4 linked regions of the Diceros bicornis minor genome follow. The protein of the gene in region 1 purifies or fractionates together with the protein of each later gene. This does not show direct contact. Links are inferred from orthologs where the notes say so. Each region holds a gene or a part of one and is shown on either strand. Other genes may lie near its edges.

Region 1 (7,752 bases):
ACACATGGTCCACATTAAGAACACTGGCTCTCCCTTTGTTTTCACATATATCAGAGATATACTGCCAGCAAAGTAAAAGGACTTCTGGTTTCCACTGCCTCAAAAACACACCACCTCCAGCAGCGAGGGGGCACAACCCCGTGGAAGCTAAAGCTGAGGGAGGCAAACGGCCGGGCGGGGTTCACCTTATACCACCTGCAATACCAAGTGCAGTGACATTCTGCCCAATTGTGTGCTGCCCAGGGTGTGTGAGCTCTGAGGCCTTCCCAGCAGCCTTCTCTGGATCTGGCAAGCTGAGAGGGAGGCAGACTGAGGATCGAGGCTGCACGTTTTGGGGTCTACCTGGCTCAAGTCCAGTCCACAGACTTTCTGAAGCCTGGGCACTGGAGAAAATAGCCCCAAGATCCTGCCCCCCTTTGAAGGGGCAATTTTGGGAAGGACTGGAATAACTGGCAGGGCACAGTGCCACGTGACCACGTCAGCACAGTAGGCCACCAGAAAGACAGACCAATACTGGGCCTTCTTGGTCCACAAGGCGCTTGGCAAGCTGAAGAACAGCCTTCCCTACTCCCAGTTTCAAACGTGTGAAAGCACAGAAACTTCCAGGCAGAAATCCAAGACCCCAAACACCAGGCTCAAAACAAGGTGACCCTACCTGGAGGAGTCAAGAGCCTTCTGACCAGTAGCAAAAGGATGGTAGCAGGAATGATTTTAATTGTAATCACACAAAATACCTAAGACATACCAATTTTCAAGATCAGGACTCAGTTCCTTAACTAATGCCTGATTAGTTGCCTAAACAAATAGAAAAAGCTATGGTACAGGTGACTCAATCCATCCCATCATCTTTGGACCAGTCATCTTTGATCTTTAACGACAGTATGTGGTGAGCTTCCTCAGACCCACCTTTCTAGCCACATCTTACTCAAGCTAACAAGATCATTTCACATTTTCTCAGTGGGGTCGTGCGTAGCCTGAAAGGGCTGCCATGTGGGCCAAGAGCCAACACTGATTGAAAAAAATGGGTTGTGCCCAATCCCACACAAGTAACTCTAAGTTTACCCTGATGCGTGAGCTGTGTGGGTACTCAGAACAAGGGCTCAAGAACCACAGTCCACCCATCTTAGAACACACATGAAGCAGGAGACTGAGGACAGACTCCTCTGGGACCAGTCAGCCTGATATGTATCCAGTGCTACCCGTGTGCCCAGCACCAGGTGAGGTCCAAAGGATGCAGTAGTGAATAAGCAGACAGGGTCCCCCACAAAGCTCCCAGTCCCGATGAGAAGAGCTTACACCTTTGTGAATGACTCGGTGACAACCGTTTCACAATTTGATTGTCTGAACCCAGCTTTAGAAAGCACAGAGCTGTCTGGCAAGGACAGAAAGTTTCACATCTACTTTTTGATGCTTGCATAAGAGTGGCTCATGGAATGGCCTTTCAGTACAGCTCCTAGGTTAAAGCTTTTGCCAAAACCTATTATTCTATAAATAAGGCAAACAGCTTGCATTTACCTAGCACTTTGCCTCCCAAAACGCTGCTGAGAATGCAGCTGGCTGACTACTGGACATAAATATTTAAATACTAAATTCCAAATGCTTCCAAAGTGTATTTTACTCAGCAGGACAGTAAGGCAGAAGTATAGGTTCAAAGGCATCAATATGGCAGTAACGGTGTCAGGGTATCTAGGCACCAGAGGCAGTTATGAACTACCCAAACACGTCGACTCCTCTTAACAGCCCCCGAAGTCCTGCGTCTTCTCCGGCCAAGAAGGAAGGATAGGGCGGTGGGCACACACACTTGGGATCGTCTGAAAGGCATAACCAGAGGCATTACCGACACAGGAAGCTATTCCTGACCCTCCCGGACAGGTACACCGTCCAAACAGAAACAACAGGGCGTGGCTGCGCAACAACACAACACGCTGACCCCAAACTTGCGCAACGACAGTCTTTCAGTCTTTCTGAACACACACCGTGTGCCAGGTTGGACGTTCCCAAATCCAGGGGGTGTGCAGTAACTTACACATAATTCCTCTGAGAAATGCAGAAAAGTTGTTTTAACATTCCCAACTTTAAGATTCCAGCCAACCTTTTATTACACACGTGTGTGCGCGTATTCTTCCACTGTAAATCCGAAACAATCCAGAACATTCTAATCCCAAATGTGTTTTTCAACTCTACCTTGAGAATTTTCAAAGCCAAAAGGGCAGGCTCACGAGCAGGGCTTCCTACCTCCCTTGCCTCTAATTCCGCCAGCATCCTCACACGACTCCGTCACCGCACCTGACTCTCAGGGCTGTCCGGGCGCAGGTGCCCAAGACAGAGCACGGATGCCCAACACGTCCCTAGCCACCACTCACCACTGACACGGCCGACCCCGCGCCCGTCCTACCGTCCGGAGCCCACGGTCCGGCCCGAGCGCGCGGCTGCACAGGGCCCAGCCGGGGCTCCCCGCGCCCACCTGCCCGCACGTGCCAGGACGCGGGGCCACGCGACGCCCGACGGCCTTCGTCGGTCTGCGGGGACACCGCCACCCCCGGGCCCGGCGCGCTGGGGCCAGTGCCTCGGGGCCGGCCGGGGGTCCCCGGGGCGCGGGCGGAGGGGACCCGATTCGGTTCGGCCAGGCCCGGGGGAAGTGCCTCACCGAGATAGATGTCTCCGAAGGAGCCGCTGCCGATCTTGCGGCCCAACCGGTACCTGTTCCCGACCCTGAGCTCCATGGCGGCGGCGGCCCCGGCTCGCTCCTACTCTCCCGGCCGCTTCCTGGGTCTAAGCGCGGGGAGGCGGCGCCGCAGCTGCCGCTACTGCGGGTCTGGCTGCCGGCTCCGCCCCCCTCACGGCCCCGCTTTCACCATCGCTTTCCGGCCGCCCCGTCGCTCCCAGCGCCTCAATACGGGGCGGAGAGAACAGTCCGAGCGCCGCCGCCCCTGCTCCAGGCCCCTGCGACCCCCCTTGCCCTCTCCCCGCCGCGGATGGACTCGGATCTCCCGGGCCTAACTCCCCCTTCAGCAGCCTAAAGGAGCCGCCGCCATCGCGCTGTGACGTCACTTCCCCTAGCAACCTGGAGGGGCGGGGCCGCGCAGCTCGGGGGGAGGGGCCGCGCTGCGCGAGGGGCGGGGCGGGGCAGGGGGGCGAGGGCGCCCCGGAGTTTCCGCGGCCCTTGGACACCCCAGGCGGCTCCCTTCTCTGTTTGTCGCCTGTTCCCGCACCGCAGCACCGTGCCGAGAGCCCCCCGCCCGACCCCCTCCCGCATGCAGGCTCCACGTGCTCACGCGGGGAACTCGTTTGACCCCGCAGGAGGAAGCCAGTGGCTCTTAGCAACAGGCCTGGGACAGGCCGCCAGGCAGTGCTTTTTGCAGGAGAACGAGAGGGGCCGAGCCCGTCCCTCTAGACCCCGGGGACCCGCGCCCTTGAGACTCTCCAGGAGGAGGCCGCCCTTCCTGGCCCAGCGTCTGGAGACAGAGACACAGGTCGGGCCACAGCGGACACAGGTGTGCACGCCTCTTGAGGTGGTCGGGGGCTGGCCGGGGACGTCTACTGTGCAGTTCCCTTCCCATCCTGCTGTGCCAAGTCCCGGGCTTGCAGCTCAGCCAGCTGTCACACCTGAAGGGTGAAGGGGAAGCTACCAGGGTTTCAAAGGATGAGGCCAGACTGCCTGCCTCTCCAGTCCCATCGGTCTGGAGACTGAATCAACGTTTTTATCTAACCTGTGTTGAGTCTGAATATTCTTCCTTGCAAAATAAAACAAGAATGTTGATGTTCCGGCTGACCGCCAGCTTCATGATCTGGACTGTTGATTCCAGTCACTGGGAAGGGAGTCCTCCAGAGAGGCACGGAAACCAAGAAGGAATGACTTTCATGTCAATGCTTCTCTAGGCCTATCCCCCACCCCGGCTAAAAAGGAAGCACCATAAAACCGGCTGTTAATACAGCAGAGTGAGTGCCCTCCCATGGCGCTTGGCAGGCTGGTCTCTCCACTCCGGAGTCCTCCCTCTCCTCCATTCAGTCTCGGTAGTGCAGCCCATGCCGGAAAATCGTTGGAGCTCAGGTTGGGGAGACTCCTGAGCATTGCAAGGAGTGCCTGGAGACAGAAAGAGAGGCCACAAGGCAAGCCAGGATCAGTCGCTAGTGAGTGGTGGGCAACTGGGAACACCCCATGTCCACGTGCAGTGGTCAGCCTAGTTTCTCAGTCTTATGAGGTTGGGGGGATTTTGCCAAACCAGTGAAAAGAGCCTTTTTGGCAGAATTTGCTGATGAACAATGCCCAGTTCCCCGGCCAGAGAAAGCCACGAGTGCAAACTGGAAACAGAAGGGGGCCTGGCCCCTGCTCCCTGGAAATACTGGACAGGCCACTCGCTCAGCTGCCCTGGGCTGATCGCTGGCCAGTGGTCCCCTCCTGGGCCTTGGTGTCCTCTCAAAAAAGAAGCTGTAGCTGTTTGGGCTGCCCCGTAGGCCCTGTGGTTCTACCTGCTTCACCTGTTTGTTCTCGGAGTTGGTCAGGACAGCCGGCCAACAGCAGGACCAAAGTCCTTGCCTGTGTTTCAGTCCACGGCTGTGATGGAAAGCAGCCAGAAGAGGCCTGCGCAGGGGCAGAGCCACCATCTTTGAGGGGCCTCACCAGGGGCCTGTGCCAGGGTTCCAGGCCCTGTTATCCCAGCACTTTGCTGCAGGTAGCCTGCCCCAGTGGCTACAGTATCCTTGTGTGTGCCTCAGTTTCCCATTTGTGAAGCACGCTTGCGGGGCCAGGGCTTGCAGAGGCTGTGCTAGGACAGCTGGTTCCCCACTTCCGGCCTCTACACTCTTCCAGATGGGAATCCTCTCTGTGCTCACGGCTGCTCTCTCATCCTACTCTGCCATTCACTGTGTGACCTTGAGAAGGACGGAAGTCAGTGCCCCAGACTGTCCATTGGAGCGTTGCCTGAGGACCAGGAGTTACACAGGAGAAGGCCGGCAGGTGCAGGAGGCTTTCGCACATGCCCCTGTTCTTGTTGGGAACGGCCTGGGACATAGCAGGCACTCAGTAAATGCTGGCTTCATGAATGACTCACGTGGATGAACTCCCAGCTCCTAGGCTAGGCCATCCCCAAACAGAACTGCGAGGTGGAAACCCCGCCTTCACTGTTGGGGTGGCCTCCCTGGACCTGGCCCCCAGCTGGATTTCATTGACCGCTCCCAGCCTCATGCTGCCGGCAAGGTCACTGGCCTGTGCCATGCCCTCAAAACTCACTCACGCCCAAGATTCCCCAGGTGTGTTCCTGACTAAGCAGGGGGCCCCTCTGCCCTGCCTGGGGTCTTCTTGTTTCAATCCAAAACTGCAGTAGGAGGAAAGTCTCACCCAAAAGGCTGGGGGTGGGGGCTGGAGGTCTTTTGGGCCCGTCCCTCTCCTGGCCTTTGGACTCCCTGGTCTGCCCGTGCAGACCCACACATGTCCCTGCTGAGCTTCTGCCCGGGTCCTGTGTGTCTGCAGGCCATTCCCACTCCAGGCGGCCTCTGGGGTTTTTTTCGTTTTGTTTTGTTTTGTTTTTGTGAGGAAGATTAGCCCTGAGCTAACATCCATTGCCACTCCTCCTTTTTTTGCTGAGGAAGACTGGCCCTGGGCTAACATCCGTGCCCATCTTCCTCTACTTTATATGGCACGCTGGCACAGCATGGCTTGACACACGGTGCGTCAGTGATCCCCCAGGATCCGAACCTGCGAACCCCGGCCCACCGAAGCGGAGCGCACGCTCTTAACTGCTGCGCCACCAGGGCTGCCCCGGCACCTGGTCTTAAAGCACTTCCAAATACTTTGTCCCCTTCCTTATAACCCAAATTCCCTGTGACCTCCTGGGCAGGCGAGGAGGTGTGGGAGGGGAGTGGACTCCCAGTCTGTCCTCTGTCCTCCGTGGAAGCGGAGCCCAGGGAAGCAGACTGAGAACGGCCTGTCCTGGGGTGTGGAGGATTTTCCATGCTTGCCCTGTGTGTGTCTGTGCGCATGTGTGAGCAGCTTTACCGAGATACAGTTCACATACCACACAATCCACCTGTTTAGACTACAATTCAATGGTTTTTAGTATATTCATAGAGGTGTGCAACCATCGCCACAGGTTTACATTTTAATCGCCCCCCCAAAGGAAGCCTCTACCGTACAGCTATGCCCCCCACGCCCAGTGAATGAATGGAGGGCTGTGCTCTCATTCACTGGTGTGTCGCACTGCTCTCCGAGGTCCAGCCAAGGCTGGCATCAGCTGCAGAAGTTCATGTTTTCCTGTACCCTGAGAGCACACATCTCCCTTCTCCCATCCTGGCCTCACGCCAAGGGTTCTCGTCAGACCCTTTAGGGGCGGGGGGCAGATACACACTCTAGTCTCCAGAAACAAGAGGCGTGTGTGTGTGTGTGTGTGTGTGTGTGTGTGTGTGTGTGTGTCTTGGAAGGACACCTGACCTGGGATTAGACATGGGATGAGAGCTACTCTGGGGTCCTCGCTGCTGTCTCTCATGGTGGCCCTGCACCTCCCAGCTGCTTGGCTCAATTCTTCCTCCTCTTGACTGACATGCCTTGGCTTCTAGTAGTTTCTGCCCCTTGAGCTCCCTACCGTGCCTCCATTCAGCTTTGTGAGAGAAAGTAACTGGCTGGTCCTGGTTGGCCAGTTTTTTTCTGCCCCAGGTCACAGGTCACTGGCAAGCCCAAGGCTGGCACCTTGGAGCCAATTAATGGGGGCGGGTGGGGGTGGGGCAGGGAGGGGACAGGGTCATTTGCACAAATCATGACTACCTTTTGCTTCACTTCCCCTTGGCCAGAGCCAGACTCTGGACTCTGGCAGCCCAGAGTCACTGAAGAGGGGATTTGTGCCCAGGCTCAGACCATGGAGAGAAGGTCACCCCCGCTGCTGCCCTCCTCACCTGGCTTCCACGCAAGTCTCCTCATTCTGCTCCTGCTGGGCATCAACAAACCGTAGGAATGCTGACCTGTGTTGTTCCTTTCCATATTATCATTGTGAGATGCAGAAACTGAGGCCCAGAGAGGCTGTCCTGTTAAAATTTCTAGATTTTCCAGGCAGCTGCAATTTGAAATATTCCGCATGATTTTAACAAAAGACAGCAAAAAGAGAAGTTTGAGAGAAAATGAGATAGCCAGAAGCTGGAAACAACCCAAGTGTCCCTGGACAGGTGAATGGATAAACAAAATGTGGTCTGCACACACAATAGAATATTATTCAGTCTTAAAAAGGGAAGGAAATTCTGATACATGCTAAATATGGTTGAACCTTGAGGACATTATGCTAAGCGAAAGAAGCCAGACACTAAAGGACAAATCCTGTATGATTCCACTTATATGAGGAACCTAGAGGAGTTACATTCACAGAGACAGAAGGTCAAGTAGAAGTTACCAGGGGGAGGGAGAGGGAGATGGGGGAGTTGTTGTTTAAGGCAGACAGAGTGTCAGTTTGGGAAGATGAAAGAGTTCTGGAGATGGATAGTGGTGATGGCTGCACAACAATGTGAATGTGGTTAATGCCACTGAACTGTACACTTAATGGTTAAAATGGTAAATTGTATGTTGTGCATATTTTACCACAATTTTTAAAAAATCCACGGACCAAAAAAAAAAGGGGGAGGGAAGAGGGAGTGGAGAGCCTAGTATAGACAACTCTCTATCCTAAAAGGTTTGGCAGGAGGTAACTTGGGATCCTTCCTCCTGGAAGGTTGCCCTCCCTTCCCGTGAGCACCGGCTCTCTCCTGCCCTGCCCCTTGGCAGCCCGCATGACT
Region 2 (7,505 bases), on another chromosome or scaffold:
AACATCTTGACTGCAACCTAAGCTGCTCCCAGATTCCTAACTCACAGAAACTGTCGGAGATAATAAGTATTTATTGCTTTAGGCAGCTACATTTTGGGGTAATTTGTTATGTGGTAATAGATAACTAATTTGGATTTTTTTTTTTTGGTCCATTTGCATTCTTCTGGGAATTGCCTGTTCATACTGTGTCCATTTCCTATTGTGCCATTAAAAAAATTAATGTAGTTATTCTTTATGTATAACATATACATTAATCCTTTGTTATACATGTTGCAAATATTTTTCTCAGTTTATTGAATTTTTTTAAACTTAGACGGTTTTTGGTTTCCATTAATTTTAAATTCTTATCTAGTCTAAAATATAATCTTTCCCTTAATGTCTTTGACATGTATATTGTAATAACACTTTGTCTACCTTGAGGTTTTATAGCTTTGTTTCTTCATAGTGCTTTTTTTTTACTACATTTGGAATTCATTTTAAAATCTATTTTACTTTTCTCCCTAACACATAGCCAGTTATCGATAAACTATTACATCATTTATTTAAACTTTTAAACATTCATTAAAACTTTAAAACTATTTAAACATTTATTAAAACTAAACACCACTTATTTAATAGCTTATTTTTTACCCCCACAGGTTTGAAATATCATTGTTGTTTCATACTATGTTTCTATATATTCAGGGATCTATTTCTGGGCTATTTGATTCCCTTGATCATTTCTCTAATTCTGCTCCAGGATCATACTGGTTTAATTACTATGGCTTTATAGTATGTTTTGATGTCCTATAGATTAACTTACCTCTTCATTTATTCTTCTTCTTCTTCACACTTGCCCTGGCTATTCATTTTTCAAGTGAATTTTATTTTATTTATTTATTTTTTTGTGAGGAAGATTAGCCCTGAGCTAACATCTGATGCTAATCCTCCTCTCTTTTTTGCTGAGGAAGATTGGCCCTGGGCTAACATCCGTGCTCATTTTCCTCTACTTTATATGGGACGCCACCATAGCATGGCTTGACAAGGGGTGCGTCAGTGCGCGCCCAAGATCCGAACCTGTGTACCCTGGGCCCCTGAAGCGGAGCGCAAGCACTTAACCTCTACGCCACTGGGCCAGCCCCACAAGTAAATTTTAGAACGGCTTGTCACTTTTCTTAGCTTGTTGGAGCTTTGATTGTATTAACTTTATAAATTGTTTTGGTGAAAACTTATATCTTTAAAATATTGATTCTTCCCATCTAGGAACATGATATAACTATTTTCAGATCTTCTTTTATGTTGTTTAATAAAGTTTTCTTTTTCTTCATATAAGTCTTGCACATTTATTGTTAACTTTATCCTTAGAATTATAAGTTCTTAATGCTGTTATTAATGAAATATTTCAGTTTTCTGTATGTTATTTTCTAACTGCTTAATGTTGGGCTATAGAAAGCTATAGTATATGAAATCTATTGATTTGTATATGTTGATTTATGAAACTTATGTAACTCTTTTATTAGTTCTAATAATTTTTTAGTTGATTCTATTCTATGTAGATCATTTTATCTATAAATAACCCTAGTTTTCTATTTTCCTATCCAATATGTGTACCTCTTATTTCTTTTACTTCTCTTATTGTATTGGCTAGGGCCTCCAGCAAAATGTCAAACAATAGTTATGATAAAGTTATTAATACTGTTATGATGCTTCCTCATATGATGTTGAATAGGATATTTGCTGTGGAGTTATAGTAGTTAATCTTTATCAAATTAAAGATTTTTTTTGCTATTTCTATCATGTTAAGAATTATTAGGAAGAGATATACTGATTCATTAATGTTTTTTTCAGGATCTATTGAAATACTCATTTATTTTGTTTCTTTTCTAATCTGACAATGTTAAGAAATACAGCAACAGATTTCCTAATGTTTAACCATCTGTATGTTCCTGAGATAAATCTTATTTGGTCATGATGTGTTAGTCTTACAATTGAATGTTGACTGTGTAATAGATTTTGGTCAAATCTTCTAACATAAATTGGTATTTAAAGCAGTTTATAATTAAATTTGCTGAAATATATTTTTACCTAATATTAGGTAAATTGTATTTTTAGTGTAAGGATTTCATACCCAGATTCCAGCAGAATTTTATTATTTTGCTTATATGAGTTTTTTGCTTTTATTAGAAAATACTAATTGTTCAGTGTCTTATATATGTATTTGCTATGTATTTTTATTAATGTTCTGAGAATATATTTAGCAGGCCTGTCACAGACTGTAGAGTCAGACTAAGATATGTTGGAACAACAGGATAATACATTTGCCACATTCTCTTCATTTACTGCTATTTTTTCTCCCTTCCTTAGTGGTTACTCACAGAACTTAGTTAGAAATTTAGATCTTCTAATTATTAGCTAATAATTTCATAGTTATCCTCTCTGAGCCTCAATTATGCCATCTATAATAATTGAAATTATAACAATACCACTTATGGCTAAGCTGATAGATCCTCAAGAACACACCCACATATTGGGAGCTTGTATATATTTTCAGCAAGGCAAAATTAAATTATACATAGCTATTAGAATACAGCAAATAGGTTTCATTTGAATTCAACCATCTGTCACATCTCCATGGACCCACACATTTCTGCCTCTTAAGTCCAATGGGTAAATAGGTGAGCCTTGCTAGACTATATATACGCCAGGCTACTAGCAGGCTGTTGTGGAAGGTCAGTACAGAAAGCATACTACAAGCTTGATCAGCAATCTGTAGCTCAAGGATTTTATGATTATATAATCCTGGGTTACATCACCCACTGAGACTTTAATAATCTGTTTCAACCAATCTTGAAATTGTTTTGGGGGTCTTCTGCCATCAGCAGCCATTACTATTTTAAAAACAAAAAAACAGAAACACCGGTTTTAGGCCTTGAAAGTCCTATTGCCCATAACACTTCTTCATGGGGTTGTTATAAAGCTTAAACGTGACATGGTATGTAACGTATGTAATAGCATCTGGCATAGTACCTGCTGCATCCCATTGGTTTTGTAAAGATGAGTATTTAAATGCTTATATAAAGCTTTCAAGAAAAATGTCCCTGGCATTGTGCCAGGTAGGGGATAAAAATTTTTTTTAAAAAGGTACTTGCCCTAAAATCTAGTGAGTGAGGCAGATAGATAAATCACACAATAGTGTGTGTAACAGTCACCAGAGGATCAAAGGAACCAACAAGCTGGGCTCTGAATTCAGACAGCATGGAGTCCATAGAGCTGTGCTTACATCAGGAGGTGCTGGCCCGTAGAAGAAAAAGAGGAAGGGCGGTCTGGTCAAAGGGCACAGCTTATGCTGAGGAATTCTGAGGGGCAGACACATCACGGAGTTGCGAGCTTGTGGGTGAGGAGGGTGGGTCTTCAGATGAGGTTAACGTAGAAGGCTTTGCAGGGTCCTTAAAACAAAGGAGCTGATTATTCCTCTTTTCCATGACTTAGGGTCTCATTATAAACTTTAGAGTTTGCCACTGTGAAATGCCCCCTGGCCTCAAGGCACAGTTGTTCGCCTGCAGCCCAAGAAACTCTCTGGCTGAGGTCACTTCTCAGTGACCCACAAGTCACCTCCAAGTTTCCATTCTGCTCTGTGCTCTAACCTAAGGAAGAAACTCAAGAGTTTACAAAAGATAACCTGACAATCAAGTTTCCTCTACTGGAACACTTCATCTTTTAGGTACTTTCAAGGTTATTAGGTCCTGGCCCGAGGGGCAGAATCCGGTTCTCACCTTTCTTTTCTTTTCTTTTTGTTTCGTCTTCTATTTTCTTTTACAGTTAAAAAGCCCTATACAGTTATTTAAAGGCAGCATTTTAAAACTGGAGCAAGAAGCTGGAGCGTTTGTCTCAGTGCCCGGCCGACTTTCGGGCTCTGTATTGTAATACCACTCCAAGATTCGGCGGCTAACTCGGAACGAGACGCCGACCCTGGAATGGAAGGGAAGCAGAAAAGTCTCCGTAAAAGTTGGAGGATTCATTGCTGTTAATGCCAGCCAGTGATGTCTGCTATGTCAGAACGAACATTCGGCCAACCAAAACAAAATCAAGAAGCTTCATGCTTTTCTATTCCTCGCTGTCGTGCAATCGGCTAAGGGTGGTGTCTTGCAAATTGCAAGCCGGCGCACGCCGGGGCCCGAAGGACAGGGTGCGCCCGGGTGCGGCCCTGTCCCCGGCGCCCGGCGCGGTGGCGCGCACACCCCTTTTCTGCAGACTCACAGGTTTCCAGGCCCCGCCTCCTCTGGGCCCAGCCGATCCCTGCCGCCTTCGGGCCCAGAACCCAGCTGTCCAGAGCCCCGCGCCCTCCGTTCCCCGGGCCCCGGATCCCGCCCCGGGCCCTCTCAAAGCGCGGCGGGCAGCGGGGTCAGCAGCCGCTCCAGGTCCGCGCCGCGCAGCCTCGGGGTCCCGAGGGCGCAGGGAGGGGGGCGGGGCGGCCGGGCCGGGGGCGGGGCGGCGGCCGCAGCCGTGAGCCCGCCCCCCGCTCGTCCTCCGCCGGCCGGCTGGCGCGGCCATGGAGGTCTACATCCCGTCTTTTCGCTACGAGGAGAGTGACCTGGAGCGGGGATACACGGTAGGCGCGGGCCGCGGCCAGAGGGGGCCCCGGGGGCCGGGCCCGCGGCGGCTGAGCCCGGGAGGTGCCCCCCGCCGCCGCCGCCCCTGCGCAGGGGGTCCCCTCGCTCTCCTCCCCTCCCCTCCCCCGGCCCAGAGGGAGGGCTGCGCCCCGCGCGGTTGTCAAGGCAACGGGCACCCCCTCCCTGGCGCGGCGGCTGCGGGCGCCCGGGGTCCCCGGGTTCGGTCCCTTCCCCCTCCCAGCCCGGCTCCCGCTCTCGGAGCAGGAGCGCCTGGAGTCGAGTCTTCCGACGCGGCACTCGCCATTCTCCCCGCCACCCGCGCTCTCGAGCCCGGGATGGGCTGCATTCGTTTCTGGCACAGCTGCTCCCTTTGCCCAGACAGAAGTGGCTTCGCGGTGGGTTGATGTTGGCTTCCAAGTTCTGTAGGATTCATTCAGCTGAAAAATATGCTCATTTTTAAAAATCCTCATTCGTAGCTATTTATTAGCCTAAGTGAATACATGTATTGCTTTTAGATGGATTCCAAAGTTTTTTCTAGTTCTGCAGTGCCATGAAATGGCAAAATCAGGTACTTACTGAGCACATGTTCCATACTTGGGACTGTGATCACCGAGAAATGAGAAACAGGGACCCTGCTGGCAAGAGTGGAGGAGTGGGCGGGGAGAGCAGGCACCAGGGCCTGGGATCTTTGGGTAATAAGTTTAGTAAGTAAACTAGGTGGTTGATTTCCCAATGAATTTAGACATCTTCATCTAGACAGTCATTACTAGAGGGAGAAATACCTGAGGCTGGGTAGACCTCGGAAGAATTTATTTCCAGTTGTTAAAGAGCAGGTAGGCTTTGGAGAGCATTGCAGAGGGCAGCTTGAAAGGATTGTGATTTTATTCACTTCTAATTCACTCACTTACTAAACCCAGCTACATTAATTTGGCAAAGAAGCATTTTAACCTCTCTCGCCTCCTCTAAATGTTTTTGGATTTTGGTGACAGCCTATCTGGAACCTAGTGTTTTCATAGGGAGGATTAAATCACCCTTTCAAAGGAATTTTTAGAATTAAGAGTAGTGATTAAAAAAAAAATCCAGATTGTATGTGGGTTTTTAGAATTAAGTAGACAGCTGGGTTCAAGTGTCCCAAAACATGTACTCAGAGTGCCTTCCATCAGGCAGGAAACTGCAGCTGAGGGGGAGCTGACCTCAGTATAGTGGCCGTTATTTATATAAATAATCCTTTCCAATGAATTAACATTTGGTTAAATATTCTGTATCTTCCTTAAAAAAAAAAGTTGAACTTAAATCTGAACCTATTCAAGGCTTTTTCCTTAAACTTAATACCTTGGTTGTCTTTTGTTCTTCCAGTATCTCACCTCTCCCATAGGCATCAGCAGTCATGGAGGGCCTGCCATCTTGGGGGCATTCTTTCAGGATCTGAAGATAAAAAGGCTGCTTGTTAGGGGCCTTGGTCTTTAGAGAAAAGATGAAGGTGGTCTCAGCAGTCCATGCTAAAAGTTAATTACATCCCAAAATAAGTACTTTTAAATAAATCAAAATTAAGGCTCATTGGCCATTATTGATTTTCTTCTATTAGAGAATCTGTGTTTTCCCCCAAAGTTTTCGTATAGTTTTTTTATTATTTGTACACCAGGCGTGAGCCAGACTCCAGGTTGTGAATTAAACTGGTTTCGAAGGAGCCCTTTCCTTGGTAAACGTGGTAGTTTGAAGATTGCTTATGTGATGAGACTTTGTGTGATCTTTAAGAATTTACTTAAAAAAAAAATCTTAACTCATTTTAGATTGGTAACCATATTGTTAAGATACCTTCTGCAAGTGATTTTTTTTTCCTTTGTGAGTTTGCCAAGCAGCCAATTAGATACTTTGTTCCCTCTGAGCAACTATTTTTTAATTGTACAGCAGTTTATTCATTCAGCAAATATTAACTGAGTGCCTGATATATGTCTCTACTCTAGGTGATGGGAATATAGCAGTGAATAATATTTCATCTTGTAAAACAAAACCCCCCAGAATTAAAAAAATATACTCTCAATTTCCTAAATAAGAAAATGGTAAAATAATGTACACTTTAGTGTAAAAAGTTCCTTTTTACTTTAGTGATTATGTTTATATTTTAAATTGAAGAAATATTATATTGCATTCCAACAAATTCAGTGATAGGAATTTTAAAGTAGAAAAAGATAATTCTTCCTCCCTGTTTCTAGTCCCATGCCCTCAGAGGTAAAACCTAGAGGTGCTTTCTTAGAGACTTTTTCCCCTATGCTATGAAAACATGTTTTTTCTTTTTACGAATAAATGGCAAGATTTTACTGTAACGGTCATCCTACAACTTATGGATTTCTTTCTGTGTCAATATGGATAGGTCTGTCTCCTCCTTCTGACTTCCAGCAAAGGGATCTTCCACAGTAGGAATGTACTATAATTTGTTTTCCCAGATCTCTGTTGATGGCCATTGACATTTGCTCCTAATATTTAGCAACTATATCAAATGTTGAAATAAGACATCCCTGTACATGCTTTTTTATGCCTACCACTGGAATTTCTACTAGAAGTGGTACTTTCGGGCTTTGTAAAGTTTTTATAAATATTGCTCACTTGTTATTCAAAAAATTCATACAAAGTTATGTGCAATATACAAAGTTATTTACTTTTAAAGAGTGAATTTTTTCCTTTTTAACATTTAAACATTTACTGTGGGCCTGCACAGTGTCTGGTGGGGAATTGAAAGATGGAAGGATGTTGTTCCTGTCCTTCGGGATTCTCAGCCCATCCAGGAGGGGCAAGGGTGGGGAAGGATGAGGGTGCCCTGATGTCAGCTGGAGTCCTGAGGAAGGAGGGGGCGGTTCTGCTCTGCCTTAGGTTGATGTGCTGGGGGTGGGGATGGGGATGCTTAGGAATGCTGACTTT
Region 3 (7,515 bases), on another chromosome or scaffold:
GTAGGGGCAGACATCTGGCCTTAGTTACTGATGGTCTTTTGTTTTACTGGATATGTATCAGAGACCGGAGCAACGCCCTACACCCTGATCTTTCAGCTGTCGTTGATGATGGCTATCAGCATAGACTCTCTGCCTGGGAGTCATCACGTTCCTAAGGAACTCAAAAGAACAAAGTTATCAACTTATAGCAGCTGAGAGGGGCCACAAAATCTGCAGAGCATATCTGGGTTAGTTATCAGAGGTCATTCCAAGTTACAATATGGTTTCTTTTCTACAATATGGCTTCCCTTGTGTCAACCTTGTGTTAAGCCAGTATCACTCCAAGAAGGTGAGAAAAATTATGAATGACTGAAATGGGCAAAAAAATTACTAGGTCTCTTCAAGTTATTCTCTGCCTGTCATTATCTTTAAACTATTTTACAACTCTTTAAATCGTAGATTATTGATAGCAATGCAAACGAATCTTGTCCATGGACACGCACATGGATATTGTCCTCTGAAAGTGCAATTGATTTCCCTACCCTCACCCCTTTGTAGAAGAAGTTAGTTTTGCATATAATAAGAAAATTCATTTTTAACATTCCTCATGGCCTATATATGTAACTGCTCTTTGGAATCTCCTTTTATTCCATTGTAACATCTTACTGGTTCCCTCATTAATTAACAAGTTAAGTGAAATCTTTGACATGTGTTCATTTTATATTCATATGAGAGTCATAATTTACCTTTTTAAAAAAATAATGATCCTTTAACACATCATATAAATTCAATCCCCCAAAGACTCTAGTGTTGGGGATCACTCAGCCAAGGGCTACCAGCCTAATATACACATCACATCAAGACTGAATGAGCTGGGCCGGCCCCATGGCTTAGCGGTTAAGTGCTCACGCTCCGCTGCTGGCAGCCCGGGTTTGGATCACCGGCGCGCACTGACGCACCGCTTGTCTGGCTGCGTCCCATGTACAGCAACTAGAAGGATGTGCAACTATGACATACAACTATCTACTGGGGCTTTGGAGGAAAAATAAATAAAATTATAAAAAAAAAAAAAGACTGAATGAGCTGATTGCACTGTCTACCCCTTCATTATGTGTTTGTTAATAACATGTCAAAAATCACCTCTGCAAGATGGGGTCAAGAGAGAACACAGGCTTTCAATTTAGAGGTAACACATTTTTATCAAGGGCGCTCATGAAATCAAAGAGATATTGATTTTTCTAACATAGTTGGCAGTTGAAAGAATGTTTAACAGGACTCTTCATAGATATTTTTGAGCCCATGACAGGGTTGTGTTCATAGAATCCTAGAATTTTAAAATAGTATAGAAAATTTAGAAATCATCTAGTTCAATCGCCTCCTTTTATAGATAAATTAATCAGGCCAAGAAAGCCCAGGTGATTTGTTCAGGATCATCAACTAAATGGTGAGCCGAGAGAAAATTCATTCTCTTTCTCTTAGTCCCATACTCTTTCTACCACCATGATGTTGAAGTCAACCAGAATATCACAAGAGATTCCTGACAACACTCCCCATCTTTTCCTTCTCCCTTCATACATAAATACTCACTCTGAAAAACAAGGGGAGTGGTAGTGTGAGTGAGGAATAGTATATGATAAAGAAAGAGCTTGGATTCAGAAACAGTCTTGGTTTTTCACCTAGTTTTACTACTTATTTGTATTTCTGAGCTTTAGTGTCTTTATCAGCAATGTGGGCATAAGTTATTATTAAATAATAATAAGCTGCCTCAAAAGATTATTATTAGGGTTAAGAATAACCTATATAAAGTGCCTGGCACATAGTAGGTGCTATTATTAAATGGTTACTACACCCCCATAACAAAGATATATTAAAGTAACCATCTGTATGCCATAAAAACCCTTCAGTCTTTGAGGAATGCACAGTTGACAGTACTGATGCTTTTATAATAAATTAGTACTTTTATGTGTAAATGAAACTTACACACACACCCACATACAGCTGTCAAAAAAATTCATCTTTATTGAATGAACAATCAGCAAACATAAGTCAACTCTACACCAATCAATATTGTCTCTCTACCTCCCACTGTTTCATTTGGATGTTTGAAAACAATTCTTATGTCTTTAGACACAATCTGCTTACTTTCAAACTGCCTAAAATGAAACATGAAACAATGTATTTTTGTTTTTGTGAGGAAGATTGGCCCTGAGCTAACATCTGTGCCAATCTTCCTCTAGTTTATATGTGGGATGCCGCCACAGCATGGCTTGATGAGCGGTGCGTACGTCCACGCCTGGGATCCAAACCCGAGAACCCCAGGCTGCCAAAGTGGAGCATGCAAACTTAACCACTATGCCACTGGGCCAGCCCTGAAACACTGTATTTTTAAAACTACAATAGGCCTGGGAATATGAGGCAATCCAAGTGAAGGCACCACAGGAATTTATTGTCTCACAGTTTTGGAGGCCAGAAGTCCAACTATTGGCAGGGCCATGCTCCCTCTGAAGGTGCTAGGGAAGGATCTGTTCCATGCTGCTTCAAGTAGTTCCTTGGCTTGTGGTAGCATAACTCCAATCTTCACATGGCATTCTCCCTGTGTGTGGGTCTGTCTCTGTGTCCAAATTCCCCCTTTTTATAAAGACACTAGTCATATTGGATTGGCCCACCCTAATGACCTCATCCTAACTTGATCATCTGTAAAGTCTTTACTTCCAAATAAGGTCACAGTCACAGGTACTAGGGGTTATATGAATTTTAGAGGGACACAAGTCAACCTGTAACAATTGCCATATCCTTCCTCCTTGTAACCTTGCCAAACACACTGGTGGCAAACAGATTCATTCATTCACTCAATATTTGAATACATGTGTCAGGCTCTATACCAGTGTCAACTTAAAAAGCAAATTTGCCAGTTATTTTACCCTCAAAATAAGTTTATTTGAGAATAGCCAAAAGAATTGCAATTCAGGATGTGCATGCAATGGCAAACCATAGGCAAATTCCGAGAACAAAGGAGGAGAGCTTGCTTTCATAGACAAAAAGGGGGAGCAGGGAGGGGCTGTTCTAAACAAAGTCCATTGGAGAAAAGTGACAGTTCAGGGGCTGTAGCCAGGTGGGGAGAGAAATCTTCCTTCAGTAGTAAAATAGTTGTACTTACTGCCAGAGATGCAAGCTATGTCTCTTCCTGAGTAACTAACCATGTATGATAGAGCCTGAGAGCTCCCCCTACAGACCTTCCCAACTTTAATTTAGTTAAGGTTTCTCTTATTCATTTCACACTAGGTATTGATGATGCAAAAAACAAATTGGACAAAAACTCTGTCCTTGAGAAGTCACACTTCTCAAGTTATCATAATGCTATTATGATAACTATTATGATAATAAAAACTGATATTTAGCACATATTTTGTGTTAGGTATTAAAGTAGGCATTTTTCATTTAATCTTCACCATAGTGTGATAAGTGATGCATCAGAGACATGCCTGGCGAGATGGGGGTGGTCCTAAACCCGCTTTGGAGGACAGGAATATTTCCACAAATTGGTAGCACTTCATCTGAATCTAAAGGGATGTGTAGCAATATACCAGGTAGCTCAAAGGTGATTGTAGTGATTCTAAAGAAGAGCATTTTATGGAGGAAAAATCAGCATGTGTAAAGGTTAAGAGACAGACTGTAAACTCCAAGAGGGCTGGGATTTTTGTCTATTTCCCTCTTGTATCTCCAACACTTTGAACAGTGCCTGGTTCAATAAGTAATTGTTGAATTAATATACGGGCATCACATGTCTAAGGCATGGCATGGACTGAAGTTCATTGTCGCTAGAAAGGTAGGCAAAGGCCTCATCACGAAGAGCCCTGTAAATCGCACTTAGTGCAAGAAATTAGGGCTGACATGTTGATGATACACAGACAGTATAAAGGAATTCCAGGGATGCCTGGCACCCACCCTGCCAATTACCCCTCTTCCCCAAAGCATGTCCAAGGGTGTCGCGCCGCGAGGGCCAGAAGAATGGCAGGGGCACCAGCTCCACACACTCAAAAGTAGGGTTCTCTGGCTAAAGCTGGATTGAAGCACACGGCTGGGCTCGAAGTCTAATGGAGCTTCCTACTCTCCTCCTTCCACCCCATCCTGCCTCACTCCCCTCCCCCAGCTTCCCCGCCGCCGCTTGGACGACACCACGTTGTCTCCAGCCCTTCCGCGAACCCCATGGTAGGAATCCCCCAGCGCACTCCGGCCCGCCGGCCCCGCCCTGCCGCCCTGCCGCCCTGCCGCCCTGCCGCCCTGCCGCCCTGCCTCCCTGCCTCCCTCTCTGCCTCTCTCCCTCTGGAACAGAGTGAGAGCGCACGCGCGCCCTCCCGAGCCAAGCGCGCGTCCGCGAGCTCCCCGCATCCCCGTGCTCATCCGGGTCTCAGCGGGCCTCAGCCAATGGTGGATGCTCACGGCCCCCAGAGGCGGAGCTAAGCCTCCCCTCACAGGGGCCGTGTGGTTACCGCGGGGGCTTCCAGGCCACGGCGACCTGTCGGCCGAGAAAAGGAGCAGTGGCAGAGAGCCCAGCGTCTGGGCGAGGATCGACGGCTCTGAGATCAAGCGGCTGCCGCCCCCTAGAAGCGACTGAATCATGAGCACATTCCCCAGTCAGAGCGGCTGTAGTAAACACATTTCAGAAACGTGAGGTGCCGGGGGTCACGTGGGGACCGCGCCCTCCAATGAGGATCCGGGGGCGGGGCCGAGGCCGCTGACGCGGCGGCGGCGGCGGAGTCACCCGGGCAGCCTCGGGACCGGTCACCGGCCGGCAGCCGTCCAGCGGCCTCGACCACCGCCTTCGTGCTCCGTGCTGCGTTCTCACTCCTCTTTCCCGGCCCGAGAGGCAGCGTGGCCGACAGCTGCTCAACCGTCTCTCGTCCCTCTCGGAGGCTCGCCTCCGGCGGCCCGTTTTCTCTTCAGGCGCCGCCTCGGTGGGGCGAGGCTTCCGTGACGAACCCGCAGGGGCCGCGGGTGCCGGCTCAGGCCGTCGTGGCGGCTCGGGCTCGTGGAACTTGCTCAGCCGCCGGAGGTCCGAGGCCCTCGAAGTTATGCGTCTGGTCCGCGCGGTTGCGGCCGGCGCCGGCTCCTAAAGGGCGTCACACCGGACTCCGCCGCCTGGGTAGCCTCCATTCATCTTCCAGCAGCGCCTCCAGCGCCCTCTCCCTCTCGGGTCCCCTCCTCGGACTCATTTTTTCCTCTCCCCGCTCTGCCGCCCTCCCCTCCCTCCCTGGGTGCGGCGATTCTCCTGGCGGCGGAGGTGTCGGTCATGAGCCGGACCCTCCTCCCCTGAATTTCTCCGGGAGGAACTCGGCGTCCGCCGCGCCCCGGGATGGGGGTGAACGCCGTGCACTGGTTCCGAAAGGGGCTCCGGCTCCACGACAACCCCGCCCTGAAGGAGTGCATCCAGGGCGCCGACACCATCCGCTGCGTCTACATCCTCGACCCCTGGTTCGCGGGCTCCTCCAATGTGGGCATCAACAGGTGGCGGTGAGTCAGAATCCCGTGGGAAATTGATTTCGGTGTTCACTGAATCGGGACTTGACACGCGATCCGCCCCATCTGCGAGTTTAGACCTGGGACCGCCTTGCTTATGCTGTTTTAAGAGTGTGGGTGCTTTAAGTATTAAATAGAACAGACTTACTAGCTCCCTGGCCCGAGCGTGCTGGCAGCCTGGAGCACCCAGGCCTTCGTGTGTGAGTTACGTGTCTCTGCGCTAATGGCAACTCTTCCCCTGGATTTATGGAGACTTATTAGTGGTGGAGTGAAAGAAACTCCCTCCCAGTCCTCAGTGGCCCGTGGATTGATTTCCTTGGCCTCGTTGTGGCATTCGAAAGGATTGCGGGTTTTAATGTTTACGTTTGTGTGTGTCTAGGTAACTCATAGTAGGGAGAAAATCATTCATTCAGTACAGTTGCCTCCAAATCCGTATTTCTCCCACCTTGAGGTTGCTGTAGGAAAAGCAAGGGAAACGGCATTGTCTGATTTCTCTCTGCCTAGCTCTTCCTCTCAACTCCTCCTTGTGGTTGATTAGACAAAGCACAGTTTTTCTTTCCAGGCAAAGTATAATCCTTCTACGGATCAGAGCCCTGGGAGAAATCTTGGAGAAGCTTTATGATCTTTTCCTGAAATATCAGGCTAGATGATTGTTAGGCCCCCTGGTGGAAATGAAAGCATTCCTTCAGTGGGTAGATTATTGATCACCTGCTGTATACCAGGCACTGCTTTAAACACCAGGGATATAGAGTGGAATGAAACAAGCAAAAATTCTTGTCCTTTTCGAGCACGTGTCCCAGGAAGTGAAATATATAGTATTTGGTGGTGATAAATGCTGTGGAGAAATACAGAGCAGAGAAAGGGGATAAAGAATACGAGGGAGTGGGATTAGAGTTGCGATTTTAAATATGGTGATCAGGAAAAACTCAAAGAAGGTGGCAATTGAACAAGGTGATGAAGCAGGTAATAGGTTGTGGGTATCTGGGGGAAAAGCATTCCAGGCAGAGGGAACAGTAAGGGAAAAGGCCCTGAGGTAGAAGTGTGCTTATAACCTTTGGAGGAAACAGCAGAAGAAGCCAATATGACTGGAGCAGAATAAGTGAGAGGAAAAGTAGTAGATGAGCTCAGAGATTTAATAGGCCCAGAACGGGTAGAGCTTTATAGGCAATTGTCAAGATTTGGGCTTTTACTCAGAGCAAAGTGGGAATAATTGTAGGATTATGAGCAGAGAAGTGACTTGATCTGACTTAAGTTTGAAAAAAATTTCTCTGGCTTTGGTTCTGAGAACAGAGTGAATTGGGGGTGGAGGGGGACAAGAAGCAGGGAGACCAGTTAGGAGGCTGTTGCATGCATCCAGACGAGAGATGGTAATGACGTGGACCGTAGTGATAGTGGTGGACTTGGTGCGAAGTAGTCAAATTCTGAGTATATTTTGAAGGCAGAATCCACAGTATTTATTGGCAGATTGGATATGTGGTGTCAGAGAAGGAATCAGGAATGATTTCAAAAGTTTTTGGCTTCAGGAAGTAGAAGGATGGAGCTGCTCTTTGTTAAGAAAGTGAAGTCTGTCAGAGAAGCCATTGGGAGGGTGATTGGAACTCTCGTTTGAACTTGGTTAACTTTGAGATGTTGATGACACATCCAAGTGGAGATAGCAGATAGACAGTTGAATGTATCTGGAGTTCGAGACAGAGATCCAGGCAGAAGGTATAAATTGGAGAGTCATCAGTTTATAGATAATATTTAAAGCCATTTATTCATCTATTTATTCATTGAACAAATATTTGTCATGCACCTACTACATGCCAGGCACTGTTTTAGGTTCAAGGCATTTAGCATAAACAAAATTGCTGAAAAATTCCTACCCTGTTGAAGCTGCATTCTAGCAGAGCCGTGAGACTGTGTGAGAACATTAAGAAAGTGAGTGTAAATAGAAAGGAGAGGAGGTCCAAGGACTGAGCCTTGAGTACTCTAATGTGTAGAAATTGTGGCACTGTGGAAGAACCAGCATAGGAGATT
Region 4 (7,973 bases), on another chromosome or scaffold:
TACAGTTAGTCCATAAACTTCCCACCACCACCAAAGCAAGGAGAATGCCAGCCCTTCTCCTAGGCTCATAAACATACATATTTCTTAATTGCCTCTCTCTGTCCTCTTTTACTCTTAGAAAGTGCCATTCATGGTTATTTTAATCTGATTCATCCGCCAAAAAACGCTGTGTGGGAGTCAGTGTAGGAAGCGCAGGAGATAATAGAGATCACAGATTTTGGTGCCATCTCCATCCTGCAGATGGCCCGGGGCCCACCCTTCTTAGGGAGGCTTCTCAGCAAGTGAAGCAGAGTGAGGACACTGTGCTGCAGCGCAATTCTCCCAGATCACTCCTGGATCCAGAAACAGCCCCCGGAAGATTACACATACTCGAGTTACGCAGAGGTATGGCTGGCTCCATCACTCCCCCCAACCGAGTGCATAAAGGAGCGTGCAGCAGTGCCCTCCATCCAATCAAAGGAGCAAAGAGTATGGGGGTGGGAGGAGTGTGTCTATTTCCAGGCCCAGGAGCAGTTATTACATTCGATCTGTTTGTGTCATTTCACTTCTTTCTTCTGAATGCCAAAACTAATTAGACTTCCTGCCAATGCACAGCAACACATTTTCCAAGCTGTCGGGCTCAGGTCTGTGGTTCTCTAGTCGAGTGCTTCTCAGGCTTTGCTGCACCTGAGAGCTTTAAAAACCCTAATGCCCAGGCCATAACCCAGAACAATTAAATCAGAACTGGGGGAAGGGGGGTGAGGCATCTTTTAAAGATCCTTAAGTGATTGCTATATGCAGCAAAGTTGAGAGTCAGTACTCTAGTCCATCCTCCTATTTTATTTATTTCATGGCACTTCTACTAAATTATGGTTGTTTACTTGTCTTCCTTCATTAAAATGTAGGTTTCAGGAGCTCTGGACACGGCATCCTCTTGTTCACTGCTGTGACCTGAGCAGCCCCTAGGGCAGTGCCTAGCAGATATTAGGCACTCATTAAAACAATTGCTCAATTAAAATCTGCATTCCTACACGGCCTCTGACTTCAGGATCTGACTCAGGTATCTGAGCTGCCACATTCCACTTCTCCTTCACTTGCTTGAAAGCACAATCACAAAAGCATGACCCATAAAAATCCATAAACATCTAGTTCCTAGCAAATCGGAGTTTAATCAGCAAGAGTTTTTGTTGCTGATTTTTAATCTCTACTAGCACAAAGGAGTAGGCAGTCCTCTGCGATGTCCCCCAAAATCCAACAAAAGAAACTCCTTGGTGACAGTGTAACAAGTCGATAGTCTGATCTATTTACTCTGCTCGGATTGGCACACTGACATAAGCGAGGGGCAAAGTCTGAGGCTCAGTTTAACCTTCCTGCTAGATGGCCATTTGAGGATGTCTGTGGAACCCAACCTCCTATCTATAGAAACTGGAGCAGAGACAGAGCAACAGAGCCGCCTGAAAACTGTGTGGGCAGGCTCTCCACAGGACTATCTTTAGTTGTTCTCTCTATATAAGTGGGGCAGGAGGGGGCATTTCACAGACCCACTGCTAGAGCCCTCACTCTCCCAGCAGGGCACACACCTTGGAGAGGGAAGGACGGTGTGCTGAGAGCCACTGTATCCTGGGAATAACCCTGCCCAACGCAATATGGCCACAGCAAACATCCTCCAGAACCACGCAAACAAACCGAATGACTCCTGTGGGATGTTTTAATGACAGATGAGTACACGATGTCTCAGAACGCCTTGGTTTTAAACACTGATTACAGAGAAAATACATCAACTACCTATCTGTGAATCCTTTCCCAAGATCCTGTCAACTCCATTTCCTGGAGTAATCGAAGACGGGCCCTTGATAGCAGTTTTCCTGCTCCCTGACCTCAGCACATCAGTTGATAAAAGTCTAATCTTTGGTGGTTCAACTGTCCTTTAAGATCAGTCTCATAAGAAGGGGAGGAAGGAAGTAACACTGTGTTTTTTTTTTTTTTTCCTAGCAAGCTCACTGCTGCTGAGGGAATTCTCCAAAATGGGTTCAGTCCTGCTCTCTAGGTCAGGAGACAAAGTGCCTCTAACTGAACATGGCCTTGGGGTCTGTACCTATAACACATAGGAGAGGGCACTTGCCTTCTTATCTAATGCTAAGCCAGAGTCTCTAGACACCTCCAGAGGCAGGATAGTCTTGGTGGAAGGGCAGTCGGCATCGGTGAAAAGATGGATTCAAACACACCAGAGGCTTAGAGACGACCTTCAGGAGCCCAGCAATGGGCTCTTTACTCGAAGAGTGCACGCGTCTGCTGTGCTATGGATTCAGAAACCCGTCCCTGCCCTCACAGCGCAGAATCTCCTTTTCTCCCCGCCCTGAGCGCACCCCTAAGAGCCCTAGACCAGGAGTCCCCGGTCTGCCACGCACTGGCCGCAAGTCCTGGGGCAGGGCAACTTTGCGTCTCTAAGGCTCAAGAGTCTCATCTGTACAACGGGGACCATGATCTCTGTCCTCTGGAATGTTGTGAGGCCCAAGGGGATAAAGAGTGAGGAAGCGCTTTGTCAGAGGCCGAGCCCTGGTCCCCCCCGGCCATTGGCACGATGACTAATTGCTTTCCCCATCTTGGCTTCTCCCCTCTGGGGACCCCGCTGGGTCTTCCTGCCCCGCTTCCCTAGGCCGGAGTCTTCCGGCCGTGGGGACTGCGGGGCAGAGCTTCCCCCTCTCTGTGGGGGGGCCCGGGCTGTTCGCGAGCGCCCCGCGGCCAGGCTGCGTCCCCCAGGCCCGCACCCCCGTCCCTGGCCCCTCACCTCCATCGGTTGATCCCGACCGAGGACGAGGCCGCGAACCAGGGGTCGAGGATGTAAACGCAGCGCACGCAGCGCGCCCCGCGCACGGCCGCCAGTAGCGCCGGGTTGTCGTGGAGCCGCAGCCCCTTGCGGAACCAGTGCACCGAGGAGGCGCCATCCGCTCCGGCCGCCGCCGCCGCCGCCGCCGCCGCCGCCGGAGCCCCCCCTGCCCCCGTCACGACCGCCGCCGCCGCCATCACCGCCGGGACTGCTCGGCCGCCGCTGCTCCGCCCCGTCGGCGCCGCGGGCCCCGCCCCCAGCCCGCCCAGTGACCTATGACGCCGCCGCTCCTCCCTGTGGCCCCGCCCCTCTGGCCCTGGAGCGCCTCTGCCATTGGCTGGGTGCCTTCCTCCTGGCGATTGGCCTAGCGGCGCCGAGTTCGGCCCCGCCCCATCACGTTCCCACCATGTGTCCGCCGGCGGGGGAGGAGCCGGCGGGCGGGGCGGGTGACGCAGGCTGGCCCTCCCTGCGGAGGTCTGGGCGTGCACCGAGTCTGGGGGCAGCGGATCTCTTACGCGCGTCCTGTTCAAGGCCTGCCGCTGGAAGAAACTGCCTGAGCTGGTGGGGCTTGCCAGTCCAGCCAGTGACTTACAGGACTGACAACCGGCCGTCCTACAGCACCATGCTCCTCCTCCTCCTCCTCCTCTGCCTTCACCCTATTACATCATCTGCAGCATTCTACTATTTGAGTGTATTTTATATGCCAAGCAACGTGATAATCTCCTTACATAGACTGTCTCATTTACTACTACACAACTCAGCCCAGTTGCGTTCATTCAAAAACTCCAGTGAAAGAGCTGTTTTATTCTCATTTTACAGACGAAGAAAACTTTGAGGCTGCCGTAGGTTGAGAGACTTGCTCAATATCATAAATCTAATAAGAGGACTCCACCCAGATTATTCTGATTCCAAATCTTCTGCTTTTATCCACAAAGCTACGCTTCTATTTGCGCTGAGCAACTTGTCGTTTGCAAGTGGCAGAGTCTGAGAAGGGGGTGGAGTGCGCTGATGCGCAGCAGTAGATGGGCTGGGAGTAGGGACTGCGAATGTGGAGGACGTGGGTTGAGATAGTAATTATTCCATCAGATGAATTTATTTTCTTTTAGTTCTATGTTTAGTAGATCCAGTGGTACCACTGTGCACAAAGCACTGTGGTGGATTCGTCTTGGACTCAAAGATGTGGAGGACACTGTCCCCAATCCTCCCCTGGGGAATTGGGTTGAGGCTTCTTATTCTTCTGGAGTCTAGCGCAGGTCTCGCTGATTGACGGCCCCACTGACTGAATGGCAGGAGAAGCATATGAACACCTGCAATGAAGTGACGGTGGGCTAAGATGGCCTAGGCAGGGTGGAGCTCTGCAGTTATCAAGTGAAGAGTCTGTTTCAATTTGGCCCTAGGTTGTGCCCATGCTCGGAACCCTTTCTGAACTTGGGAATGAGCAATGAAAGAATTTAGCAATTTAGTCAGCAATTTAGTGGCATTAATTGGCACCACTCTATAAATCAGAGCATCGTTGCGATCCTAGGATTTCTCATTTCCAGGACTTTGCCAAGTTGTTCTTTCAAGCCTGGATCACACTCCCCACCCCATCCACTTTCGAACTCCAGCTTGTCCTGTGTCACCGCTCAGTAAAGATGTCACTTCCTTGCTGTCTGGTCCAAGCCGGCATAGTGCCTCATCTCTTTCCGTGCTGCTTCTTATCACTGGCCTTAGTACATTTACTGGAACTTCTTACTTGTCTGTCTGCCCCATTAGACTATAAACTCCTGGAGGGCAGGGGCCGTGGCTTACTTATAGTTGTATTTCCAGGATCTAGCTCAGTGCTTGGCACTCAATGCTTGAAGACATTTGAGTCAAAATTGAACAGGAACTAGAGTCTCAGGTTGACAGGAACCTTAAAGGTCTATCCCAGCGATGAAAATAATAAGAATAATAAGAAGTTTTCACATATTGAGGTATATGAGGAAGCCATTCTGGTTTAAATTTGATTTGGCCCAAAACTTGTTTTTCCCAGAGCAGTCTGACTTATGGCCCACCAAACACGCATTGTACATCTGCTTCAAAGATTTTCCCAAAGCAACAACTGCACTCTTTAAAGAGGGGTGAATGTCTCCCTTTCTCTGATACCAGTACTTCCGTGAAGATTAGCTTTGTTTTTCCCCAGAGAACTAAGGTCAAGCTGACCTGCTATGTGTGTACTAAATTGAGGCAAAACATCTCCTTGTGACTTTGGAAAAAAAACACTGTATTCCTGTCATGCTTGATGTATGTTCTTCGTTCTGAACTCATATATAACAACGCTGTAAACCATGCTTCCCTGGAGTGCTTTCCTCCCTGGGGAAGAGAGCACTTCTGGGCTAGTCCTCACATTAGCTCATTAAATATCACTCTCTCTTTCTTATCTACAGATTGGTTATTGGTATCTGCATAGACACCAGTCCTGACCCTGGCTTTACTTTTGAATCCCCTCTCCAAATGCTTGCTGAATGAATAGATGCCACCTCTCGTTATTTTTCTTTTGGGACTTTGTGTTCCTCCCTCTCCCATCTCCTCTTCTCTCCACAAGGTGGATGCTCTGCTAGGAATGGAACAGAGGGTGTAAGAGATGGTTCTTCCCTACAGCCTCAAAGATGAGTAGTCTTCTCTTTTTCTCCTCTGAACTCCTATGATGCTTTCTTTATAGACTGTGAGCTCCATGAGGGCAGGGACTGTGCTTATCTTGCTCATTAGTGTCTTCTCAGTACTAGTTTGGTCCCCGACATGTAGTAGATGCTCAATCAATATTTGCTGAATGATTGAATGTTATTTATCTATTTCTGTCTTTTTAGGCTCTCATGAAAGGCAGTGTGGTATGGTGGTTAAGTCCAAGGGCTTGCACATTTGCAATGTCTGTGTTCAAACTCTGGTTCTACTTTTACTCTGTGTGACCTTGGGTAAGCTAGTTGACCTCTCTGTTCCCCACTTTCTTCACCTATACGATAGGGATGATAATAGTAGCTAAGATATAGTAAGCATTTAATAAGTATCAGCTTATTATTATTCTATTATTCTAAACAGCAGGATCTGTGTCTGCTTTGGTCTTCCTTGCAACACCTCGCCCTGGGTCTTTCACATAATGAGTGCTCCATAAGTTGCTGAGTGAATAAAAGATTTTAATCAGTTAAAAAGTCCTCAAAATTATACCAGTAATGCAAAACAGAGAGAAGTAATCACCATCAACCCCCAAAACCAAACAAGTCAATTATTGTTTTTACCTTTATGTTACCTTCTAGACTTTGTCCATAAGCGTCTTTTTATAGCATTAATCAAGGCAGAAGTACAGTGTTTGCATGGCTTTTTAAATGAAATATTAAGCATGTTCTATATTGCTATGTCATTGCCTTTGTGATTGTTATTTTAATACCTATATAATCTTTCATCAGGTTGATAAAAAATGAGTTACTTTATTGAATGATTGCACATTGCTTGCGTATATTAACAGGGTAACATTCAAGAATCAGGAAATAAATCTGTCACGGGTGGAATACTGGAGTGCAAAGTCCACTTTGGGACTTCACATTTCAAAAGGACATAGGGAAATTGGAGAGAGACCAAAGAAACCTGTACATTGCTAAGAGGTAACATGTAATCGTGTACTGTTATAGCTTTGAGAGAAATGAGAACTGAGATTTGACCTTACAGCTCTACACGTCGTTATTTACAAGCATGTCTGAAGAGTTTGCCATGAGGATGCCAAACAGTTGCTCCTTGTTTCCACTAAGCGTAGAACAAAAGAATCCAGTTTACCCTAGGAAGAGTAAGAGATTCAAGGAGGGACTTAGTATAATAAAGTGGTTTGGGAATGAGACAAATTAGCCAGGTAGTGGGAAGTTTCTTTCTTCACTGAAGATATTTAAGAAAACTGAAATCAGTCCAGTTTTGTCCTTTTGCTGTAGTCCTGCTTGGAGACTGGATTAGGCAATTTTTTACATTGTCTTTGAACTGCGCTTTGGGTAAATATTTTATGATTGGTTGCAAGCCAACCAGGGGAGGGCGGGAGGGACGACCCTGGCGAGTTTAAGTTATCTGCGCCCTCTGGTGGTGGGTCTGGGAAAGACGCGGTGGCTCCGTTTGGGGCTGAGCCGGGAGCCCCAGAGCCCCACCCTCCTCTCTTTAGTTACGGGACATGCGCAGTGTGCGGCTGCGGCTTTCCTATTTCTAAGACTTCCCGTAGAGCCTGCTTTGAGATTTGTTGTTTGAACTATTACGAGGGCATGGACCCAAAAACCGGCTTCCTTGGGTTCTATTTCCAGCTCTGCCATTAACTAGTAAATTACTTGGGCAAGTTCCTTAGCCTCTCTGTGCCTCAGTTTCCTCATTTGTAAAATGGGGATGATGATGCTGGGGATGATGATGATGGTAACGATGATACCAGTGCAGCGTGGAATTGGAGCAAGATAGACAAAAGTCTCAGAACTGAGAACCCAGAAACAGACCTTCACATATCTGGATATTTAATCATGACAGAGATGTCTTTGCAAAGAAGTAGGGTAAAGGTGGTTTTTCCTATAATGGAAATGGGTCAATCAGATATCCCAACATAAAAAAATGAAACTTGACAGCTATCTTGGGACATACACACAAATCAGTTTCAGGTAGATTATATAAAACAGTAGATGGTCTAGTGGTTAAGATTCAGTGCTCTCACCTCTGCAGTACGGGTTCGCTTCCCATTCGGGGAACCACACCACCCGCCTGTCAGTTGTCATACTGTGGCGGCTGCATGTTGCTGTGATGCTGAAAGCTCTGCCACCAGTATTTCAAACACCAGCAGGGTCACCCATGGCAGACAGGTTTCAGCAGAGCTTCCAGACTAAGACAGACTAGGAAGAAGGACCTTGTCACCCACTTCTGAAAAAATTGGCCATGAAAACCCTACGAATAGCAGGGAGGATTGTCTGATAGAGCGCCAGAAGGTGAGAGGATGGCACAAAAAGACCGGGCAAGGTTCAGCTCTGCTGTACACAGCGTCACTAGGAGTCAGAGTCAACTTGATGGTTGACTTGACAGCGGTAACAACAAAAAAAAAACAGTAAAGCTTTGAAAAGATTATATAGGAGAATATCCTTATGACCTTGGGGATAGATAAAGAATTCTTAAGTAAGACCTGGAAAGCACTAACCATAAA

Evidence for each region.
Region 2: the proteins of CSNK1D (region 1) and SNX24 purify together in Homo sapiens (affinity purification with mass spectrometry; 3 studies listed by BioGRID and IntAct, counting the BioPlex papers as one, with this or other methods). This does not show direct contact. The link is inferred for Diceros bicornis minor from reciprocal best matches to the Homo sapiens genes CSNK1D and SNX24.
Region 3: the proteins of CSNK1D (region 1) and CRY1 purify together in Homo sapiens (affinity purification with mass spectrometry; 3 studies listed by BioGRID and IntAct, counting the BioPlex papers as one, with this or other methods). This does not show direct contact. The link is inferred for Diceros bicornis minor from reciprocal best matches to the Homo sapiens genes CSNK1D and CRY1.
Region 4: the proteins of CSNK1D (region 1) and CRY2 purify together in Homo sapiens (affinity purification with mass spectrometry; 3 studies listed by BioGRID and IntAct, counting the BioPlex papers as one, with this or other methods). This does not show direct contact. The link is inferred for Diceros bicornis minor from reciprocal best matches to the Homo sapiens genes CSNK1D and CRY2.

What each region holds. Positions count from the first base shown.
Region 1 is NC_080757.1:61,657,376-61,665,127, forward strand, and holds the start of CSNK1D (casein kinase I), read right to left. Parts: upstream 3,012-7,752; 5' UTR 2,724-3,011; coding exon 2,648-2,723; intron 1,812-2,647; exon of another isoform or gene 1,715-1,811; intron 1-1,714. UniProt on the Homo sapiens protein: Essential serine/threonine-protein kinase that regulates diverse cellular growth and survival processes including Wnt signaling, DNA repair and circadian rhythms. It can phosphorylate a large number of proteins.
Region 2 is NC_080740.1:43,823,838-43,831,342, forward strand, and holds the start of SNX24 (sorting nexin-24), read left to right. Parts: upstream 1-4,488; 5' UTR 4,489-4,528; coding exon 4,529-4,588; intron 4,589-7,505. UniProt on the Homo sapiens protein: May be involved in several stages of intracellular trafficking.
Region 3 is NC_080764.1:17,168,492-17,176,006, forward strand, and holds the start of CRY1 (cryptochrome-1), read left to right. Parts: upstream 1-4,498; 5' UTR 4,499-5,332; coding exon 5,333-5,490; intron 5,491-7,515.
Region 4 is NC_080770.1:24,329,861-24,337,833, forward strand, and holds the start of CRY2 (cryptochrome-2), read right to left. Parts: upstream 3,004-7,973; coding exon 2,768-3,003; intron 1-2,767. UniProt on the Homo sapiens protein: Transcriptional repressor which forms a core component of the circadian clock.